3 linked regions of the Mus musculus genome follow. The protein of the gene in region 3 binds, or shares a complex with, the protein of the main gene of each other region. Links are inferred from orthologs where the notes say so. Each region holds a gene or a part of one and is shown on either strand. Other genes may lie near its edges.

Region 1 (4,384 bases), on a different chromosome or scaffold from region 3:
GACTAAACATTAATATTTATATAAAGCAATTAACTAGGTACACAGTGTTCTTATTATGCCTTATATTAAAAATTTAGTGTGTGTTGGATGCATTTGTTGGTATAAAGGCCCAAGGTCCACAAGCTCACTGATTTGGTTCGGCTAGCTTAGCTGGCCAAAGAACTTAAGCAATCCTGTTCTCTTAGTGCAGAAGTTACAGGAGTTCTATCACACTAGCCTTTTACTGTGTTCTGGTGATTCGAACTCAGGTCCTTGATGAGCAGCATACACTTTACTGAGTTGTCTCTCTTGCCTATTGCGAATATTTGCCACACTTCCATGCCAGATCTCTGGTTCGGTATGAGAACTCATAGGTAAGAAGAGGCAGGGAGAGGCTTCTTGGAGATCCTTTGCAGAGGCCGGCGAGGTCAAAGCGATTTTCTGTTTTAAAGATAGGGCCTTACTATGTCGTCCTCGCTGGCTTGGGAACTCCCTCTGTACACCAGGCTGGTTTCAAAGAGCATGATGTGCTTTTGCTACTTGAGTGCTTATATTAAAGGCGTGCACCACCACACCTGGTAAAAGTTATCTTAATCTTAGTCATTCTCATTCTCTCAAGAAGGTGCAGTGGAATTTTCCATAACTATGCAAAAAAACAGATAGTAAAATGTTGAGAAGCAGCTAGACGATCAAATTGTTTTCTAAAGGAGACATTAATTTTTTTCTCATCAATTTTTGTTTTTGTTTTGTTTTGTTGGTTTTGGTTTTTTCGAGACAGGGTTTCTCTGTGTAGCCCTGGCTGTCCTCGAACTCACTTTGTGGACCAGGCTGGCCTCGAACTCAGAAATCCGCCTGCCTCTGCCTCCCAAGTGCTGGGATTAAAGGCGTGTGCCATCACCGCCCCGCCAATTTTTGTTTTTGAAAAGTTACTTGTCATGATAATGTTTTGCCAACACTACATACTAGTATTTTAAAACATAAACCCTATGCAATTAATGTTCCTAGAGAACACAGTTTTTAGTTTTGTTGTTTTGAGTAAGGAGATCAGTGTTCTGAGCTAACCCTTGTTTGACCAACCACAGACAAAACTTGCTCTCCGTGTCTGCACGCCTTTTTTGCAGTGGTTTCCTCCCACTAAACCGCACTTCCAATTCTGCCCGTCAAACGTCCCATTCCACCTAAAACATGATCCCCGGCGCTGGCCCGGGTCTGTCGCTGCGCGGGGCAGCGTTGTGGGGACACCCACGGGTTCCCCTCCTGTTGGCCTAGAGGTTAAACTCAGCACCTACTGAGGCTCTAGAGAAGCATCCGGACTTCCGGCTCAGCTAGGCCACGCCCGGCCGCTTCCAGGCTGTGGCCGCCCGGAAGAGTACATCAGACCCCGGAGTCAGAGGGGGCGGTTCTGGCGCGCCACGCCTAGTGAGGGTGGGGCCACGCCCACACGGAGAGGCGTGGTCTCTACCCGGCGCGGGAAAGGGGCCGAAATCGCGTGCGCGCGCTCAGTCAGCGACCGCGCGCCACACGTTTCGGGAGGGGATGGCGGCAGCGGCGGCTGCTGGGAGCGGGACGCCCAGAGAGGAAGAGGCTCCCGGAGGGGAGGCAGCGGCTTCGCAGGCCCAAGCCCCGACGAGTGCACCCGGGGGAGTTCGCCTCTCGAGGCTGCCTCTGGCGAGAGTAAAGGCCTTGGTGAAGGCAGACCCTGACGTAACGCTGGCGGGACAGGAAGCCATCTTTATCCTGGCGCGTGCCGCGGTGCGACGGGGAAGCAAGGGCGCCTGGGTCGGGGAAAGGGGCGTGGCATCTAGGGGGCGTGGCGCTAGGGGGCGTGGCGGGCCCTGGTACGCCGACCTGACTTGACTGAGACCTAGGAAGGCCTCTGTGGGCCCCGTTTGAGTTGGTTAGCCACTCTCCTCTTCACGAGGACCCACGCAAATTTAGTTTGCATGGCTCCCACGGCTCACACAGAACTTGAAGGGGATCCTAATGAATGAGTAGGGTGGATTTGGAGATATTAGAGCAGGGGGATTGGAGCTATGGAGAGGGATAGCAGAAGTATTTTCATAAGTTCAGTACAATGGTAGCTTCTAGAACTTTCCTGTGTGGTAGAGTTCCCCCTTTACCCTTCTTGTCCACGTCTACACAGGATTGCTCATCTCAGTGGGCTAGAGTCCACTAATCTCTGCTTGCTTTTTTTTTTTTTTGTTGCAGGAACTGTTCGTGGAGACTATCGCAAAAGATGCCTACTGCTGTGCTCAACAAGGAAAGAGGAAAACTCTCCAGAGGAGAGATTTGGGTAGAGTCGCTGTGGTACCCCAGGGTGGACAGGGGAGCTATGGGCTGGGCTTTCTTATAGCTGTTTCACAAGGCATCATTGAAGCAAGGGGAAATTTGGCTTTTGGTTTATTTGTCTACCTGGTAACCCTTCCACATGTGTAAGCCTTTAGAGACTGTACCTCTCATTCCCTTCTATGCTGCCAAACTCTTTTTCTAGTATCTTTTTTTTTTGTTTTTGTTTTTCGAGACAGGGTTTCTCTGCAGCCCTGGCTGTCCTGGAACTCACTCTGTAGACCAGGCTGGCCTCGAACTCAGAAATTCACCTGCCTCAGTCTCCCAAGTGCTGGGATTAAAGGCGTGCACCACCACGCCCGGCCTTGTTCTAGTGTCTTTAGAGTAGAGAGAAAAGTGAATTTTGGAATAAGACAGGATTGTAGGATGCCTTGAACAGCATTTTCGCTGGCTTTTGAGGTGAGACAGTTAAAAGAATAGTGAGTGTAAAGATGGATCTTAGGACCTCTGGGTTACAGTTTGTAAGTGATGTCATTTGCATAAAATTCCATGTTGGGTCTGATGTCTGAATGGCAAGAGCCAATCAAGTATCCCTTTACCTTGTGTTTCAGATAATGCAATAGAAGCTGTGGATGAATTCGCTTTTCTAGAAGGTGAGTTCACTGCCTGCACAGACTATTTCTCTGTTGATGATGTGAGCTTCAAACCTTATAAAACCTTATAAAACAGATGTGTGGTTTTCCTTTGTATACATGGCAGCAATTCTCCCTGTTTTGATAGAAAAAAAAGGAACATTTTCCATTCTTGGGGAATTAGAAATTCTACAGGGAAATTGCAAGCTTAAAAGAAGAAGGAGGGAGTATATAAATTACCAGTAGAATTGGATTTAGATTTTGAATCCTGTTTATATCTCCAAACTAAATATTAATATTGCTCCTTTATAATGTTAAGAATTAGAAACAATTTGTAACTTTTTTTAAGATTCCTTTTTATTTACGTGTATGTGTGTTTCTATATGCCAAATGTATGTAGGTACCCCCATAAGAGCCAGAAGAGTAGTGTGAGCTGCTAAACATGGGTGCTGTGAACAGGGCTTCTGGAAGAGCAGCAAGCACTTTTTTGTTTTGTTTTTGCTCTATTTGAGACTTGGGTTTCTCTGTGTAGCCCTGGCTCTCCTGGAATTCACTCTGTAGACCAAGCTGGCCTTGAATTCGCAGAGATCCTAGAACTACTTGCCTCTACCTCCAGAGTGCTGGGATTAAAGGTGTGCTTCACAACTGCCTGCTGATGAGCATGAGGTCTTTTTTGTTGTTATTTTTTCGAGACAGGATTTCTCTGTATAGCCCTGGCTGTCCTGGAACTTACTCTGTAGACCAGGCTGGCCTCGAACTCAGAAATCCTCCTGCCTCTGCCTCCCGAGTGCTGGGATTAAAGGCGTGCGCCACTACCGCCCAGCTAGCAAGAGGTCTTAATCACTGAGTCATCTCTCCACCCTCAGTTCCTAACTTAAGACAGGGTCTTATATAGCTCAGACTAGCCTTGAACTCTCACTGTGTAGCTGAGAGTGACCTTGAATTCCTTTTCTGTCTTCACCTCCAAAATGCTAGTAATAATAATGATAAGTCAATACATACATAAATAGGCATATGCCACCTTGTCTGACGCTGAAATATTTTCTTCTTTTTTCACTCTGTTCTGCTTCTCTGTGTTAACCTTTGCCCATGGCACTCTTTAGATGTTCTCTTTGATATCTTCTAAGATCTCTCTCCAATGTCTGCTTCAAGTCTAGATTTTTGAGTATTCTCTTTGAGTTGTAGATTTTGTTTTTCCACCTATTTGTCTTAAAAATAACTTGAATTAGTTGCCCAACTTGTTTTATAGTCCAGTGTATGGTCATCCTTGGTGGTGGTCTTTATATTCTTGAAGAGAAAGTACTCTATTCTGTTCTGCTTGCTTGTTTTATCAGTTGCTGAGTAAGAATTGTCCATTAAATTCTCCTACCACAACTGTAGATTATTTTCACTTGAATTTTTGATTCTGTTTATTTTGTAAGACCATGTGATTAGGTATGTAAAAGTTTACTACTATGTTGTTTTTGACAGCCCATAGTATTTAATTT
Region 2 (3,252 bases), on a different chromosome or scaffold from region 3:
GCCAATGTTTTAAAAACTGAAATGGTCCAGAATGTTAGCTTTCTGGCTTCTCTCCTAGATCACAAGGCCTGACAGCACCAGTTCTAGATAAATAGTGGCTGGAACTAAGGCTTATGACATCTTTAATCCAGGCCTGTTCTAAGTGCAGAGTTCTTTCCACCAGAACAATCCCTCAGTATTGTTCATCATCCCAACCCTGTCGGGTTGTTTTTGTTTTGTTTCTCCAAATAGGGAAAAACTTCTTTGTAATGTCCCCATCAAAAATTTTAAAAAAAACACGTTTTGGAACAACATGTTTTAAAAAGAAAGAAAGAGAGAGAGAGAGAGAGAGAGAGAGATATGAAGGAAGGAAGGAAGGAAGGAAAGAAAAGAGAAAAGAAAAGAAAAGAAAAGAAAAGAAAAGAAAAGAAAAGAAAAGAAGGAAATAATCCAGCATTAGTTCTCAGTAGGAGTATTTTTTTCAGTACTTAATTATACAACTTAAAGCAACATTGAAAATGTAAAATCAAGTGATGATTTTTGATAAGAAAAATATACAATGAATCACTTAATGATTTAAAAAATACAACTTTAACTTGGGTTTTTGAATGAGAATACAATGCATTATTCTTACAATCAAATGATTCTTGCGCTTTCAGTACCGAACCAGACCAAATTGAGCTCCGAAGTCTCATCAGGCGTCTTTTGATATTGCCCTTGTTACTGCTGTCCTAGTAAAGTAATGGCATTTTTTTAAACGAAATTTTAGATTAACACTTATCCTTAATATAATTATCACAAAGTTGTGAAGGGCATAAGATTAAAGATGGACAATACTACTGCATCAATCGGTGCAATAGAATTGAATGAAAATCTACACTGAGTTCCGAGCCAAAAAAAAAAAAAAAAAAAAAGGGCGGTGGGCACTCAAGTGTCAGTCGTTCGCGATTTTGCGGGATCAAAGCAGATTCCAAAGAGTTACTACGTTCTGAGCCTCTGGAGACAATGCTGAGATTGCGAAAGCGCGTTAAAGCTTTGGCCCCGCCCACCTCTTATAGAGAGCCCCGCCCACTTGGCAGTCCGAGTCCCGCCTCTCCCGGCTCAGTCTACGCCTACCCTTTCCAAGCTAGGCACCAGGCCACACGGTTGCCTAGCAGCGGCGAACGGCACGCTGGGAGAATCGACGGAAACCTCAGAGAGTCAAACTTAGTGTGGTGCGAAAGCTCTCGCGATGTGTAGTAGAGAAACAAGCCTGGAGTGGAACGTCCGGGATGCCGTGGAAGCGGATGGAAATTTCAATGGTCCTAAACCATTGCGACATGGAAAGCTGGGCTACACTGGGGACTTGTGGCGGGGCTGATGTAGCAGAGAGGCTGTGGTGCGCAAAGCACTGTGGGACACTGGCAACGTGGGGTAGGACGGAAGCCTCCGAGGGTCATATTTTAGCGACGCGGGAAGTCCAGACACCAGAACTGTCTGGAGACCTGAGCAGGAGGGTCGGGCCCCAGCGGAGGCAATGGCGGAGAGGCCCGAGGACCTAAATCTGCCCAACGCCGTCATCACCAGGATCATCAAGGAGGCGGTGAGCCGCTCGGGCTGGCGAATGGGTCGAGGGCGGACGTGTGGGCAGAAGGTTAACAGAATCCGCGTGTGTGTTCATCTCCACTCTCCTCGCAGCTCCCGGACGGTGTCAACATCTCCAAGGAGGCCCGAAGCGCCATCTCCCGCGCCGCCAGTGTCTTCGTTTTGTATGCCACATCCTGGTGAGCTGAGCAGAGGCTGAAGGGAGGCGCAGCGGGATCCTGACCCCGCGTTCGTGGCCTGGAACCTACAGGCCCCAGTTCCCTGCCTCAGTAGAGAGCGACTTACGGCTCTCTTCCAGTTGTCACACATTCTGGAGCAGGTTAAACAAGACGGTTACCGTAGCCCTTTGTATGGGAAGGGGATGAACTGAGCCATGCCACACACACACACAATCCATTCATCTACGATAAATACGGCTTTCCCACCCCATTCCTGGGGGTCATGCCTCCACCCACTCTGACAGCTTCTGAAGGGCGTTGCTCTTTCTTCCAGTGCCAATAACTTCGCAATGAAAGGAAAGCGCAAGACTCTCAATGCCAGTGACGTGCTGTCAGCCATGGAAGAGATGGAATTCCAGCGATTCATAACACCATTGAAAGAAGCTCTAGAAGGTATCCACGTACTCTTCTGTCTCTTAAACCATATATAAAAAAAATGCTCATCAGTATCAGTGCCATTAAGTCCCGTTCAATAATACAGGACTGGTCATAACTCCCCTCTGTTTAGTTGGTACCATCTCGGGTATGTGATAGGGGCCTGGTTATTCCACCTGTGCCTCGGTTTGTCTAATTAAACCATAATATCCTGCTTCCTTACAGCGTACAGGCGGGAGCAGAAAGGCAAGAAGGAGGCTTCGGAGCAAAAGAAGAAGGACAAAGACAAAAAGGATTCCGAAGAGCAAGACAAAAGCAGAGAGGAGGAGGAGGAGGATGAAGAGAGACTGGACGAGGACGACCAGAACGAAGAGGAGGAAATAGACAACTGAATGGAGAGAGTAGGCAGACTGTGGCGTGGTGGAGGGGACCCTGAGATCCTGAGACATGTCTGTGTGAAGGCTTTCCCTGCAAGGCAGAGCCATCTTCGGCACTGGTGCCTGAGATCAAAATAAAAGCTGACCAGAAAGATCAAAAAGAACTCTTCCCAGGCTCAGAGCATCTGAGTTACAGAAACCGGTCATGCGTCATCAGTCTGCAGGTTAGGATGTTTTTGAATAAGCGATTCTGAGTGACTACATAGTTTGGTATTGCTTGTCTACTTAAAGTATATGGCTAGCTAGTTTCTGATCCCATTTCCCTGCCCCTCTGAATAAGTAATAACATCCATGTTGCCTGCAGTGTTCCAAGTCACAGAAGCACTAAAGGCTCAGGGGGAAACAATGGGGCTTTGAGCCTGGTCACCCAGTTTGACTGTACAGTAGTTGACCATAGGAACTCGTGCTTAGAATGGCTGCTCTCTAGGAGATGACTAAGGAGCTGTGAGCGAGCGAACGAGGAAATGTCTTCACCTGATGGTAGCATTACTTACTTGGTGTCTGGCTTTCTAGACTTACTTAGCTTTGTAGTCCTCTAGTGACTGTAGATGCTCAGTCGTCTGGGGTGGCTGCACTCATAGGACACACACTCTTTAATTCTGAGTGTTGATTAGAATCTGTCAAAAAAGGTGCCAATTCTTAAAAGCAGGGGCTTAATC
Region 3 (3,466 bases):
CAAGCTCAAGAGGTCCTTGCTCTACAGTCCTGGTGAACAAAGAGTGGGTTTTCCACATAGACTAGGCAGATCAAAGGTGTTTAGTTTAGGCCTGTCTCAGCCCTGTTCTGGACAGAGCACCAGGTCTCACTCAAGACACTGGGTGACAGATAACCCTCTTCATACTTTGCTCTGAAGAAAAACCCCTGGGTCTATGTTTCTGGTTTTTTGTTTGTTTTTTTGGTTTTTCAAGACAGGGTTTCCCTGTGTAGCCCTGGCTGTTCTGGAACTCACTTTGTAGACCAGGCTGGCCTCAAACTCAGAAATCCTCCTGCCTCTGCCTCCCGAGTGCTGGGATTAAAGCGTGTGCCACCACACCCGGCTTCTATGTTTCTGGATTTCCCAGAAAGCAGACTGAATTCTATACCCATGAAGCTGATGGAAAGGCTTATTTGTCTGAAAATAAGCAAGACTCTGGTCAGAGTCAGGGTTTTGCACTGGCTTCTGTGTCTTCTCTGCCCACACCCTTACCTCATCTTAGAACATATCTCATGCTCAGACGAGAGGCAGAAGAGCTTTGTGTGGAAGCATAAAACAGACGCTTCAAAACCGTGTTTACTTAGCAGGCAGCTAGGGATAGAGCCATTCCCTGCTTCTGTCTGTTTATGGCATGATGACGTTAGCAGAAGTCTTCTGTTCCTTCTGGGCTGTGCTCATGAGTTTGGAAAAGCAAGGTGGTCAGTGGTTCTGCCTTTTGGAGCAGGCAGTAGGTGTGGGATACCAAAGTGTCTTTAGCCTAGGCTTGCTAACAGTTTGATACAGGGCTTGTCTGTAACAGCCATTCTATGGTCTCCTGGAGATATGACATGCTGTAGTACTTGGCAATGTTCTGGAAGATTCTAATCTGTTCCATGAAGACCTGTAGGAACAGACAGACACAATGACTCTGGGTTTTACTCAGACGGGAGAGGAAATCCCTATAGTGAGTGTGAGAATGGCTCACCTCAGTGCGGATGGTGAGAGTAAAGTCCCCTGCGCAGCTGCAGTACACAGGCATATGGGTCTCTTTCATACCACGGCACTTGAGGCATACCTGAAACAAGCAAGCAGCACCATCATTTCAGGACTCAGTGCTTGACAAAATTCAAGTTATTCAACTCTTGCCAATTCCTTCTCCAAAATGCCCACCTTGCTGTGGGTATCCTCAACCTGGACTACCAAGGTCTGGGAGGGTCCCGTGTCCCAGTTGGCTCTGTCCTAATAGTTGCCCAGGGATTTGTTCAAGGACTCTGCTCAGGTCCTCCTAAACTGCTGAAGCTTTTCTGCTCTGCTCCTGCACTCTACCACTGACATCTTTACTGTCTGTGGTTTATCTCCCTCCACTGGACAGGCCCATCTGCCCACAGAAGGTATCAATGATGAGGACAGAATGAGTGGGCGAGGTCCATGGATGAGGATTCCCTCCTAGGGCAGTCAGGATCTAAACATGATCTTGGCTTCTCTGAAATGTTGATAGTGCTTGGAAACTCCTGGGTGGACTAGGGAGCTCACCAGGTCCTGAAGTGTGAAGGCCATCAGTTTCCTCTGCAGGGCTTCCACCAAGGCTGACTCAATGGCAGAGGAGTCATAGGGGGCTTGACAATTGGAGCAGAGCCACTGAGGCAGGATGGCTCCATCCTGGGAAATGGGAGGAAGGCTTAGATGTCAGTGAGTGGAAGCCAGGGCCCAGCTGGGCAATAGAAGGCTGGTGTAAAGGGAAGATGCAGAGAGTGCAGGGGCAAAGGAAACCATCACTACTCTTGGCTGCATTCCATACAGCCTGAGCTTTTGGTTTGTGCTGATCAGACCTTTCAGAACAAATTTTTAGCACGTTACAGTGGAGTGGCTTAGGGGTGGCCTATTTTTAATCCATAAATGAGTCACTGAGGTAATATGTTGTATATTACAGGTTGGGCTACATGTCCCAACCACTTTGGACATTTAGAAGTTTTGATCATCAGCTGAGCTCACCTGAGAGAAAGAGGAATCTTTGCACAGGTCCAGGTCTCGGCAGAAATTACAGCTGTGGCAGATTACCTCAGGGAGCACGTAGGAGTGGCAGGGGTCTCTGAACTGGGCCTCCTCAGAGAATTCACCAACGTCTACCAGGCGAAGAAGGTCTCTGTTCAGCTTATTCACCTGATTTGTGATGTTTGTATCCAGAGATAGTACCTATGGGGACCACAGACCTTCATGAAGTAGCCCTAAGCCTCTTTACCATTCTGGCTGGACCAAGTGCCCCTTCTTAGCTCATCTCCCAGCACCGTTTAGCCCTTCTTCCCATCTGGAAGCTCCAGGAAGAGCTGATTCTCTACAGTAGCAACTCTGTCAGTGAGTAGAGTCTTCACTGATGAAGGAAACATCATTGATTCTACACAATACCTTCCAGAAGCTAAAGAGGGAGGAGACCCTCATTGGTCCTAGGAGGTCAACATCACCCTAATACCACACAAAGACACAGGCTGTTACCACCATAAGAATGGACAAAAACAGCCCATATAAATACTAGCATCAATGTGCAAAAAAATACAGAATCTAAAAATAAAGAAGCCCAAATGAGGCTTTTTTGTTTGTTTGTTTGTTTGTTGTTATTTTTTTAAAGACAGAGTCTTACTCGCTAGCTTCTGAAGATACAGACTGTCCTCAAACTGGTCCTGCTACCTGCCTTAGCAGTCCCTGGACTGCAGGTGTAAGCCAACGTGTCCAGTCCAATTGTGCTTTGAAAGGGTGTAAATATCCAATGGAAAAGAGCTCTGGAACTGAACACCCTGGAAACTTGTGTATACACTGTAAAGATGAACTAAAAATGGACCACAGATCTAATGTGCAGTTCATTATAGCTTGTTTTCTGGGAAAGAGGTCAGTGACTGTCCAAAGTGCATCTGTGGAGAAGAAACATCCCCAGCTTACCATGTTAAACCCTGAGGTGTAGTCACTTGATATTCAGTGCTCAGCTTCAGAGTGAAGCGCTGGGATGCTCAGATGGCACAATGAACAATAAGTGCTTTGAGTAATAACCCCGCATGGGCAGGGGTAGTATCATCTCACCATGTGGGCCCGCCTTTCCCAGAAAACAAGCTCTGTCACCTCATTTGGTCTCAGGTCTGTTCTGGCTCACCAGGCCCACTGTGACTGGCGATCATGGACTCCTTCCACTTCCGTGGGCTATAGCTTTCCCAGCATTCTGCTCTCCTACTCCAGAGCCTCTGTGCCTGGTTCCAGGACCTCCAGAATCTGAACTAACCAGTCTCTCATGGTTTATCGCCAGGCTTAGGATCTATCAGAGAGGGCTTCTTCTGTAATACCTAAGCTCAAATCCCTCAACAAGGGTTGCATTGGATAGAGACCCAGCAAATGCTGATGGAATGACTGAAGGACTTATACCTGGCCCTCACCTTGCACACATATTTGATGAACTCCAGAGCAGGATTATTGAGCAGCAAGTGTG

Evidence for each region.
Region 1: Pole (region 3) and Pole4 share a complex: the UniProt entries of both Homo sapiens proteins name them as parts of the DNA polymerase epsilon complex. The link is inferred for Mus musculus from reciprocal best matches to the Homo sapiens genes POLE and POLE4.
Region 2: Pole (region 3) and Pole3 share a complex: the UniProt entries of both Homo sapiens proteins name them as parts of the DNA polymerase epsilon complex. The link is inferred for Mus musculus from reciprocal best matches to the Homo sapiens genes POLE and POLE3.

The regions. Positions count from the first base shown.
Region 1 is NC_000072.6:82,649,971-82,654,354, reverse strand, and holds the start of Pole4 (DNA polymerase epsilon subunit 4), read left to right. Parts: upstream 1-1,489; 5' UTR 1,490-1,515; coding exon 1,516-1,731; intron 1,732-2,187; coding exon 2,188-2,272; intron 2,273-2,876; coding exon 2,877-2,918; intron 2,919-4,384. UniProt on the Homo sapiens protein: Accessory component of the DNA polymerase epsilon complex. Participates in DNA repair and in chromosomal DNA replication.
Region 2 is NC_000070.6:62,523,240-62,526,491, reverse strand, and holds Pole3 (DNA polymerase epsilon subunit 3), read left to right. Parts: upstream 1-1,477; 5' UTR 1,478-1,495; coding exon 1,496-1,561; intron 1,562-1,656; coding exon 1,657-1,742; intron 1,743-2,055; coding exon 2,056-2,174; intron 2,175-2,381; coding exon 2,382-2,548; 3' UTR 2,549-2,694; downstream 2,695-3,252. Other genes in the region: 4933430I17Rik (uncharacterized protein C9orf43 homolog), read right to left, coding at 614-674. UniProt on the Homo sapiens protein: Accessory component of the DNA polymerase epsilon complex. Participates in DNA repair and in chromosomal DNA replication.
Region 3 is NC_000071.6:110,334,564-110,338,029, reverse strand, and holds the end of Pole (DNA polymerase epsilon catalytic subunit A), read right to left. Parts: coding exon 3,414-3,466; intron 2,191-3,413; coding exon 1,990-2,190; intron 1,657-1,989; coding exon 1,531-1,656; intron 1,073-1,530; coding exon 983-1,072; intron 899-982; coding exon 785-898; 3' UTR 577-784; downstream 1-576. UniProt on the Homo sapiens protein: Catalytic component of the DNA polymerase epsilon complex. Participates in chromosomal DNA replication.